Drosophila melanogaster: one gene and its partners. The protein of the gene in region 3 interacts with the protein of the main gene of each other region in a pairwise test. Each region holds a gene or a part of one and is shown on either strand. Other genes may lie near its edges.

The links.
Region 1: the proteins of Spx (region 3) and Cda5 interact in a two-hybrid assay, tested with the Drosophila melanogaster proteins (one large-scale study listed by BioGRID).
Region 2: the proteins of Spx (region 3) and CtsK1 interact in a two-hybrid assay, tested with the Drosophila melanogaster proteins (one large-scale study listed by BioGRID).

Annotation. Positions count from the first base shown.
Region 1 is NT_033779.5:57,522-61,278, reverse strand, and holds the start of Cda5 (chitin deacetylase-like 5), read left to right. Parts: upstream 1-2,010; 5' UTR 2,011-2,089; exon of another isoform or gene 2,090-2,320; intron 2,321-2,547; exon of another isoform or gene 2,548-3,030; intron 3,031-3,085; exon of another isoform or gene 3,086-3,096; 5' UTR 3,097-3,128; coding exon 3,129-3,198; intron 3,199-3,757.
Region 2 is NT_037436.4:13,992,259-13,996,015, forward strand, and holds the start of CtsK1 (cathepsin K1), read left to right. Parts: upstream 1-1,972; 5' UTR 1,973-2,093; coding exon 2,094-2,142; intron 2,143-2,532; coding exon 2,533-3,522; intron 3,523-3,601; coding exon 3,602-3,757.
Region 3 is NC_004354.4:6,253,975-6,257,731, reverse strand, and holds Spx (spliceosomal protein on the X), read right to left. Parts: upstream 1,911-3,757; 5' UTR 1,822-1,910; coding exon 1,788-1,821; intron 1,714-1,787; coding exon 1,630-1,713; intron 1,572-1,629; coding exon 646-1,571; 3' UTR 136-645; downstream 1-135. Other genes in the region: Rbcn-3A (Rabconnectin-3A), read left to right, coding at 2,384-2,470.

The DNA of each region.
Region 1 (3,757 bases), on a different chromosome or scaffold from region 3:
TCTCTCACTACAATTTTTGACATTTTTGATTTGTCACTCACTTCATTGATTAAATTTAATGCTTCAACATTTCGTAAAACTATATGATTTAATTAAGTGTTTAACGGCAATGACTTTTTCAATTAACGGAACTATTGTATTTTTGTCTTCCATTTATTATTCAAGAGTTAAGCACAATGCTCCAATATTTCAAGTATACCATAAACTGAAGGCTCTGACCGATTCGAATTGCATGTGTAAGCAAAGTGCGGGTTTACTTGTCGGGTAACCACTTTATCGAAAACATTATAGGCGAGTTTTGAGGGCCAACAATTTGACAATCATTTTCCGTTGAGCTTTTTCTGTCTGAATCAACTTGCGATATCTTAATGCGTGCTAACTATTGACCATATTTTGACAGGTTTCATATACATAACAGAAGAAATATTTGTTTCAGGAAACGGAGTTATTACGGTTCATTAATGAGTTTGCCAAATCGCCTGTTTTACCAAACGTGGCCAAAGTGTTCTTGGTATACCGATAGAAATTTACAAGGGTTATAATAAAATAAAAAAAAATCTCAAAAACTTTTTAAAAGTGTGCGCGTGGCAGCTTTTGGGGGTTTGTGGGCATTAGAAGGAACGCCGCCAAAGTGTTCTTAGTATAACGATAGCTATGGGCGGTCTGTGGGCGTAAGAGTGGGCGTGGAAAAAATGGATTTGGCAAATGAATATAAATTTACAAGACTGATGAAAATATACAAAAAAATATGCAACAATTTTTCAAAAATGTGGGCGTAGCAGTTTCGGGTTGCTTGAGGTCGTTACAGTGGGTGTGGCAACATGGGACAACAAACTTGCGCTGCGTCCATGTCACTAGAATATGTATGCTGAATCTCAACCTTCTAGCTTTAATAGTTCCTGAGAACTCGACGTTAATACGGACGGACAAGCCTGATCGACTCTGCCAATGGTCTTGATAAAGTATTTGTATATTTTATATGGTCCGAAACGTTTAGTTCAAGATACACTTCGTTACACACTTTTTAATATAGTAACGGAAATAATTAAATAATTTCCTAAACAAAGTCAAAAATATTCAATGCAACAAAACACCTCGCCCTCCATTCACAGAAAAAATCGTGTGAAACACAATCCAGCAAAAATAAATTAATAAATAAAGAATTAGATTAATTCGCATGCCTTGCTCAAACCATCAGCCATCGCCGTTCACCAGAACCCCTTTACTTCAGCTGTTGTTTTACAGCTTTTGCTTGGCTTTGGTTGGCTGCTTTGGCCTAGTTCTTGGTCGTTGCCATGTTTTCAACTCGGTTTTACTTTCAATTCTATGGTTCGAAATTGGCCACTTTACTTTAGACTTTAGAGTAAAGCTATATGTTGGGCATATAAATCGAATTTATCAAGGGCAATTCAGCTGGGTGGTATTAATTCTAAAAGTGATTGAGTGGTCTTCCTTCGATCCCATGCTTGACATGGATTCAAGTCCAAGCCCATGTTGAAGTAGTAAGCATTCTTTAATTTAAGCACCGTAATCCACTATCGAGCGATCCAGAAACCTGCTGCTAAACGAAAATGTAACGAAAAAGGTAACAACATTTCACAATCGCCTTGGTAAATAGTTTCCCAGCCTTCGTTGGCTAGAGGGTGGATATTGTTGTAGTTTCAGAAAACAATAAACAAAGCCCGCTCCCCGCTTGTAGATAGCTTGAAACTGATGGGGAGCTTTGGATGAAATTCTCAGTAAAATGTTGAAATTCACTAAGAATATGGGTCTGGACTACATTTTTCTGATAACTTGTATAACTTGTAAAACGTAGCAAAGCTGCAATGGCGCAAGCGTTAACTTTACTCTTACTTTCAAAAGCTTAAGAGATACAAACGACTCCGCGCGGGTGCAGCAACAACTTGAACAGTCTGTTAATGTAAAGTAACAGTCGGGGCCAAGCGTGGCGCAGACCAAGCTTGGCCCAAAAGCCAGACTTCGAAACTTGGTTGGCTGGCTGCGCTTGCCCAGAGTCTCAAGACACTCGTCCGCACAGTCGCGCTGTATAGTTGTTTCGATTAGGACGTGTGGTTCGCTTAAGCGCACGGTAAGCAGAGACGCTCGAGGGTCACCCGAACTTGTCAGGCGGTCTAAACTGTTTGCAATAAGCCACAATCAATTTTTGGGCTTTCGATTGCTAATTTATTTCGTAAACGCGTCGAAATAAAGTCCACCTCTGACTGGACATTGCAACCAGCCAAAAATTTAACATTTTGTAGAAAGCAGTTTTAACTGCATTTTGCAGTTTAGTCGAAGAGCTCAAGCGTGTGTGTCGGTGGTAAGCTAACTTTGCGTTAAAAAGAAAGTTTACGCTAAATATATATACAAGCTTCGACAAACAAAATAAAAACGTGCAGGTTTTGTTTTATTTTGTTTCGCATTTTCCTCTACGCGCTACAGACTAGTTCATACAGAGTTTTCCAATATGGAGGTGCCCGCGATACCGTACGGGAAATCTAAATCAAACACCGATCTTCGATTTGATCTCTTTGCATTTTTGTCTAGCAATCTTTTCCATGGTAACTACAAAACGAACAGCGGTCATTGCAGTCTCACGTGAAAGAAACTAAAAAACCTAACTAAAAATCGCTTGCCAAAAGCAATGGAGGAAAACTAAGTGTTGTAATCTGTAAACGTGTGTGTTAGCTATGCATCGTCGCGTTGGTTAAAGCCAAACGAAAGCTCGAATAATAGGGGCAGAAACTAAATCTGCTTACAACAATACAAACATGTCCTAACCAAGTGAAGGCACAGCCACAAAGCCGCAGTCGCGGCATAAGCCAGACACACCATTAAGAAAACTGTAACACAAGGCTCAAAAAATCTAAATTGAAAAATTGCGACACTGCCTTCTTAGTTATTTAGCAATTGTTTTCAACAAAACAGAGGTTTTCTCAACGGTAACTGCCTCCGTCATCGGTACGGTGGCTGCTGCTGCTCCCCACTTCCCGCGCTTCCAACCACTATTTTTATCCGAGCTTGCCTATGGTATTTTAAATTCTGTGAACTAACCCCAAAACGAAACTGAACCAACCACATCAAGAAAATTTACAGTTACAGTTACGACGACACGCCATACCTGCAATATGAAGTATTCAACAAGTCGAATAAACATTCTGTGCCTGCTGGGATTGTGCCTACTGCTTTTTAAAACAGGTGAGTAATGCCCACTTCAGTGAAGAACACTCTGCTAGAAATACAAATGGAGGCAAAAACTTAAAAGAGCAAAGGGCTTACACACTTTACCCACTAGTCCTAGAAGAGTTAGCACTTAACCAGATTTTAAGACAACCATGGATAAGTATTCAGTTCATGTATGAACTGAAATCTTTTTTTAAACGTAGATCCGAAAAAGTTTTATTTTTAAGTGAATTGTTTTTACAGTACTATGGATTCTTCTTTTCCTCAATCATATTCGAAACTTCGTGATAGAAATATTATGTTCCGCAAATAAAGCCAAACTTGTTTTGAACACTGTTCCGGCTGCCATGTACGAGCTCGCAATAGTCTAATGTCAAATTCAATCACCGTAGAAGAAGTCAAACCACCAGCTGTTAACCACTTGTGTTGAGCTCTATTGTGGATACTCCGGCTCCGGCTAAACGAGTTTCTTAATATGTCCAAAAATGTATATTTATTTTAATATATATATATATATATATATATTAAGACATTTTACTGCGAAATGTGTTAGGATATATAAAAAGTAAGAGTA
Region 2 (3,757 bases), on a different chromosome or scaffold from region 3:
TGTTATTTAAAAATTAAATTTACTAGTCTTTTTTTAAATGGATACGACGTTACTATTTACATATTTCTCTTTTAGGGAGAAATAAATGATTCTCTAGTTTCGCACATAGGATTTTGATTATCTACACTAAATGGTTAACTATTTCTTGTTAAAAATTGAGAGAAAACGAAGTCAAAAGTATTTTTATATTGAATCACATTCATTCCACTAAAAGGCCAAAACAAATATGCTTCATATTACAAACAATCCTTTTACAAAGAAGCTCTTATTCCTTGCTCAAAATGCAATTTTCGTTCCACGTCAATATCCAATTACACCTTAAGAGGCATTCAAGGTCTTCTAGCATCCTGCTGCTTGTGCTTTTCCACGAACATAATTTATATTGTTTTTGTTGACTTTTTGATGACCGACTGTGTGAGCTGGTGAGCGGCGGAATAGAGAAAATGTAACAACTGTGACAAGGGCAGGAAATGCTCCTCTATGCCCATAATACTATACAGATTTGAACCAAAAACACATACATATAAACGCCAACAGCTATGTACATACATATGTATTGTATTGTAGTACCTATGTATGTGGATGGATCATGTATATGTATGTTCGTCTGGGAGTTCTTGTTTTTGTGTGGGGATTCAAAAGGCCTGCCAAAACAGCCAATCAGGAACCAATCAGCGATAAATCAAAGTTTGATTTCATTTTCAGCAACGTTGCTACCTTTTTCGGACTGCTTTTCCTCCGCCGCCAATTACAGAAACATTTTGTTTTCGCCTATCGCGTTAAAACTTTCACATAATTCGCCTAACTTGGCGTTTAAAACATTTAACTTTGGCCAATTCGGCGCAGGCAAAACTTTTTGCCTCACTGGCACGCACACACAAGCACTTTTCGTTTAATTTTTAATGCACTTTTAATTGCGTTTTCTTGTACGGCGCACTTGTACGGTTTGCAGTTTGCATTAATCCACGTCTTACAACATTACCAGATATCTGTGTGTTGTCTAGTTCTTGCTGGTATAAAAAAACCATGCGATTTGGGAATCGAACTTGTGCGATTGGCGAACTTAACGGTACTGAGCCGAACCCACAGCTGTAACGGTAAAGAACGATGTGTGGGCGAGGACGACAACGACGACGATGCTGCTCCTTCGGTGGTAGCTTGACATCTGCTCGGGGTCCTTTCGGGATCCCGTGCTGTCCGACTATCGGTTCGGTTTGAGAGCGGGCGCAATGCAGCAAAACTTGGAGTAGGTTCAAGTTCCGAAGAGAGGGTGAGACTTTATATCGCTGAGACACAGAGAGAAGGGAAGAGAGAGCCGAGAGAGAGTCGTTGTGATGAGACAGATGAGTGACTATCTATACCTCCTGACTGTCAGCTGTTTAACGAATTTAAAAATAGAATTTTTCCAATCCCGATTTTGATCCCTAGACACGGTTTTATTTTTTTCTGACAAATTTTTCTATTTTAATCTTGAATATTAGATCATTCGCGGTTTTTTCGATTATTTTTTATTGAAAGCTTAGCCAGAAAGAAGTGCATCCAATATTTTAAATTAAAAAAAAAAACATTTAATCTCAGCACTTTGGTCACACTAGATGTATAAAATATCTGTATAATCATGTGCACCCTGTGCACGCAATAAAAATTGTAATTGCTATCGATATTTAAAATAATATTGCAAAATCAAACTAAACCTCTTAAGTTACAAAATCGAAGCACATGATATTTTATTAAAATAAAGAAGCAATTCTTCAGTAAGTGAACAGAAAAGATATTTCTTCTAATAAAGAAATTCTTAAATAAAAGAAAATGTTAACGGATTACATAGAATTGCGAATAATTTGTAGAATAAAATACTACCATGACAAAAAGCAAAGAACTTTGATAAGCTCTTATTACAAACTAGAAAGCTCTTCAACCGATTAATACCGATGTTTTTCACGGCGGCGTTATCTCCTCACCCATAGAAAGTTGTTGTTAAAGCAATCGGACTATTGAGCCGGCAGAACAGTTTAATTCTTCGAAAAGATAGGTAGTATACTAGAGTCGGGATCAATTAATATTCCAGACAATTCTCTGGTGAATTCTCAAGAATGCAAGTGTTTTTAGCTTTAGCCCTGCTCGCAGGCTTGGCTTTCTCAGGTGAGTTATAGACGTTAGAATGCTAAAGTGTTTAGCCAAACAAAGAGTAATTGTTTCTGCGTTTGTGTGCGCTTTAAACTAATGCACACATGCATATATTAAAACAATCGAGGTCATCGTTTTAGGATTGAAACTTTAGCTTATCATCATTTTTTTTGCCATGAAGTATATTTAAAAAGTAAAAAGAACATGTTTTTATTAAACTTTTAAATTAGATCAAATAAACGTAAAAGGGCATGTACTGCTATTTTGACCGCAGCTGTATATATACGAAGTATATAAGCAATGGCGTGAGCTTAAACCTCGATGGCTGCCCTTTACCGTTTCTTATTGTCAAGTTCCCGCTCATTTCTCATCTGAATCTCTCCACACTTTCGCCAACGACAATAGCTAATGCCACGAATCCGCCGAAATGGGATCCAAACTACATAGTCAAAGGAACCCTGTACATTCCGTACGCCGAGATTGCGGAACCCTTCTACGCCTGGTATGACAAGAATACGAGGCGATCCCGCATCGATTACTACGGCGGAATGGTGAAGACATACCAACTGGCTGGCGAGGGTCAGTACGGAACCCTGCTGAAGCTGGCACCGATTACCACCAAGACGGAGAACAACAAGCTAACCTGTCTGCAGGTGAATGGCACCGCCGACCAGGCTGTCGATATTCAGAGCATCCTGCCCGATGCGAAACCTTTCAGCCTGGTGGGCACCGAATCCTTTTTGGGCTACACGTGCGACAAGTTCCGCCTGGAGTCGACAATTGGCCAAAAGAAGAACATCTATACGCTGTGGGTGCGGTACAAGAAGTCGCCGCATTATCCCTCCAGCCGAATGCCCATTCCCGTGCGCTACGAGATGAGGGGCTATAACACCCTGCTGGGATCGCACTACGATCATTACTACTTGGACTATGACAGCTACGAGCACGATGATATTCCCAACGAGGTGTTCGAGATCGATGACAGCCTGCAGTGCGTCGGATTCCCCGGACCCGGCACCGGTCACTATGCCACCTTCAATCCCATGCAGGAGTTTATATCCGGAACCGATGAGCATGTGGACAAGGCCTTCCACCATTTCAAGCGCAAGCACGGAGTTGCTTATCACAGCGACACGGAACACGAGCATCGCAAGAACATCTTCCGTCAGAACCTGCGCTACATCCACTCAAAGAACAGGGCCAAACTCACCTACACGCTGGCCGTTAATCACTTGGCCGACAAGACCGAAGAGGAGTTGAAGGCACGACGAGGATACAAATCATCGGGCATTTACAACACCGGCAAACCGTTCCCCTATGATGTGCCCAAGTACAAGGACGAGATTCCCGACCAGTACGACTGGCGGCTATACGGCGCTGTCACTCCGGTGAAAGGTGGGTTCATTCATTCCCTAAGTACTTACTTAGATGAATTTGATAATATTGAATTGCTTAAAACGTAAACTACCCTTAGATCAATCTGTGTGCGGATCGTGCTGGTCATTTGGCACCATTGGTCACCTGGAGGGCGCCTTCTTCCTGAAGAATGGCGGCAATCTGGTCCGGCTTTCCCAGCAGGCGTTGATTGACTGCTCGTGGGCCTATGGCAACAATGGCTGCGATGGTGGCG
Region 3 (3,757 bases):
TTGTAAATACTGTACTTGTATGTTTCCCATATTAATAAATTTATGCTAAACAAATTACAAGACCAAAAAACAAACGTGTTTCGAAAAAAAGCGGGACGGCATCATTTTGGGAATGCTAAAAAAGAATCCTAGTTTCATTTCAATAAATGGAAAATCATTCCTCAGTTTATTTTGAACTACAAGCTAGTTTCTATACATAACTTCAAAGGATTGGACATTAAATTAGAGGGAGCCCTTTAAAAATACTTAGTTAAATTACAAAAAAAAATTATCGCTTTCTTCGTATGTTCCATTCAAATTAAACTTACAGACTTGTTAATGTAAACGTTTTATGTTTATTGAAAATAGTTCCGTTTAAAAAAAAATCAAGAATCGAGAGTCAATTTATATCAAATCATTTCGTTCATTTCAAAATTCTATTCAAAGTTATTTAATTTCGTCTTGTAAGAATTCGAAGATTGTATTGCGACTACTAAATGGAAATACAATGATGATCTAAATGTCTCCCAGTGGTTTCCCGGTTGTTAAATGCATATTAGAAAGAAGAATGGAAATCTTAACATATCCCAGAGCAGGCTTCATTGATGAATCCTATTGATGTTTATTTCTCGTCTCGTCCAAATTGGTATACACTACACGCTAGACTTAGTACTGGTAGCCGTCGGGTTGATAGGGCCGTGCGTAGGGCGTGGGTGGGAAGGGCACGGGCGGCGGACGCCAGTTGGTGGGCGGTGGTCTGGGCGGAGGAGCAGGCATGCCGGGCGGTGCCCATGCATTTGGTTGCATCATGCGAGGCGGCGGCGGAATGCCCATTGCTGGCGGCAGCGGCGGCTGTCCGCCGGTCATCGGTGGCAACGGAGGCGGCGGTATCGTAGCTGGGAACGGTGCAGGCTGGGGAACGGGCGGCGGCGGTGCTAGCATGCCCATATTGTTATTCGAAACGGGCACCACCGGCGGCGGCGGCGCCATCATGGGTGGCGGCATCATCTGGCCCGGCATCTGGGCCGGGATCTGGCCCGGCATCTGGGGCATCATGGTTTGCACCGGTGCATCGGCGAACAATTGATGCGGCCGGTCTGCATGGGTCGATGGATTCTGGGCGGCCAACAGGCGCTCCGCAGCCGAACCGTGACGCTCGCCCTTGTGATCCTTCTTGAAGGCATAGGACACGGAAATGGGACGGTTGCACAGGTACTGGCCGTTCATGGCGTCCATGGCCGCATCGCTGGCCTCGAAGCTGGCAAAGTTGATGAACGCAAAGCTCTTAGACTTGCCCGTCTCTGGGTCTCGCATGATCTTCGGCGTCTGCAGTATAACGCCGAAGGCGGAGAACGTATCGTACAGCAGCTTCTCGTCCACTTCCACGTCTAGGTTGCCAATGAAGATGTTGGCGCCGACGTCCAGGTTCTTCTGATGCGCCGACGCCTTGTTCACGCGAATGGGCTTGCCGTAAAGCTTGATCATGTTCATGATCTTTATTCCATAGTCGGCGTCTTCCTCGCTGAGGAACTCGACGAATCCATAGCCCTGGTGCATTTGGGTGACACGATCCTTGGGCATGTGTACGTTCACTGCAAGCATGACGATTAGGGAGCTGCTAGGCACTATACATGTGTGTCCGGGACTTACCCACTGGTCCTGCCTGGACAAACAGCTCCCAAAGCAGCGTTTCCGACACCTTGTCGTCAAGACCGCCGGCATAGATGGTGGCATCTGTGGAAGGAACGGAAAAGGCGGGTTAAAGCGTCTCCCAAGTGGTGCAAATGTGGAGTGGAGGTCAAACCCACCTTGGTTGCGTTCAGCAATTGGACCTGCCGCCATTTCGGAGCTATTTTTATAAACAAAACCAAAAACTAATTTTCGGCGTTTTCAACATGCAAAAATGCTCGCAACACAACCCTGAATATCGAAACAGCCTATCGATACCATGAATCGATATATATTCCACGATTTCGTTTTTATTGGCAATCGAAATTGATATCGAAATCGAATCAAATCGAACGGATATTAGAAAAAATACTAAATATAGACGAAGCAGAATAATTAAATATAATTTCAATAGGTTAAAATATTCACCTCTATTTTTTGAAAATAAAATGAAATATTTTAATAATAATATTTTAATTAAATGATAAACAGTTTTTCGGTTAATTGGAGTAACCGTATTTAAATTACTCAGGCGATATTTCGCCTCCCATGCCGTGCCATCCCTAATATCGATAGTTCGATTGGCCGCGCTGGCCAAGAACCCAACTCTAATTTTTATGTAATGTCACTTTGTTGTCGTTTGTTACAAGAAGCAAGGAAAATTCGTGCTAGAAACCAAAGAACCAAGACCCCAATATCCGTGCGCTGTGATGTGATAATCAACTGTGTGTAAATTATGAATTGTCATCAGATTTTGAGCGGCGCTTGCAATGCAGGCGACCGGTGCTTCGCCATTGGCTCCGTGGAAGGAATACCATTTACAGTAAGCACAGAGCCATCCCAATCCGAATCCGGATCGAATTGGGTGAAAATCGGTGGCGGAATGTGCACCATTATCGGCCCAACCAGCCGGACACGCCCCCCAACCCCCCCACGCACACTTGGTTCAAAAGGTTGAACCGTTTCCAATTGGAAACGGGGCATCATCATCACCATCGTCGTCATTCCAACAAGAACCGATCGGAGCACGTCTTTAATGTTTTTATTTACATATTTGCGTGTGTGTGGTGTGCGTGTGTGCGGTGTGTGTGAATGTGTGTTGAATTTTATATCGTTTTTTTTTGCCACACTTGGTGGTCAATTAAAAAATCAAATGCAAATGATGAGATAGAGAACTTTTCGTGTTTGCTGGCTGGCGCTGTGCAAAAATTCGATAACAACAAAGTGTGCAGCTCGAGTGTGTGTGTGTGTATGTTGTGTGGCACAACAAATACAACACAATGTTTGTTTTCACCTGCATTTACATACCTGGCCAGCAATTAATTACATTTTTATTTTTTTAAGGTCAAGTGCTGGCAGTAAACAAGCCGCACGCACACACACACACACACATGCGCCAGTTGCAGTGAGAGTGTGTGCTTGAAAGTATATACGCATGTATATATATATAAGTGCGAGTATGTGTGTGTGTATACCCTTCGATTGGTCAGGTGGCCTTTGATGCCCTAATTTCGCAGCTTGCAGGCTGCCCACCTTCCCCTTCCCACGAACCCTTTCTCTATGGCAGCACCCCCCGCCCCGCAACCCCTTTCGCCAACCCACGTCAATGGCAAATTGGAATTATAAACGGCCATAATAAAAAAACGTGAGCACGCATTTATAATGTGCCTTATTCGATCCCTATACTATATACTACCAAATACTCTTAGCAATCTGGCCATTTTCGTGTCTAAAACCTTTAACGGTAACAGGAAAAAGTTGAAGAGCTCACTATAAACTTCGCTATGTCAACTTCGAGTTTATAAACATTACACCCATTGAGACATGTGTACTATATGTTTACTCAGAATGTTTATCCGATGTAGAGAACAAGGTCTGTGTTTTCCTGCAAAAACCCAAGGAAGCATAATTAACTACTGTGCACATTTTGCCATTCTAATGAGAGGCCCCACGGGGCGTATGTGTACATTATATATATATTCTATATTCTACTATATTCTATTCTGTAATCAGCACCGCCGTTGACACAGTCCCCCGTTCACAGACCGACCACCAACCACCCAACACCCACCCACTGCCCACCGCCTTGCGCCATATCATTTGCCATCAT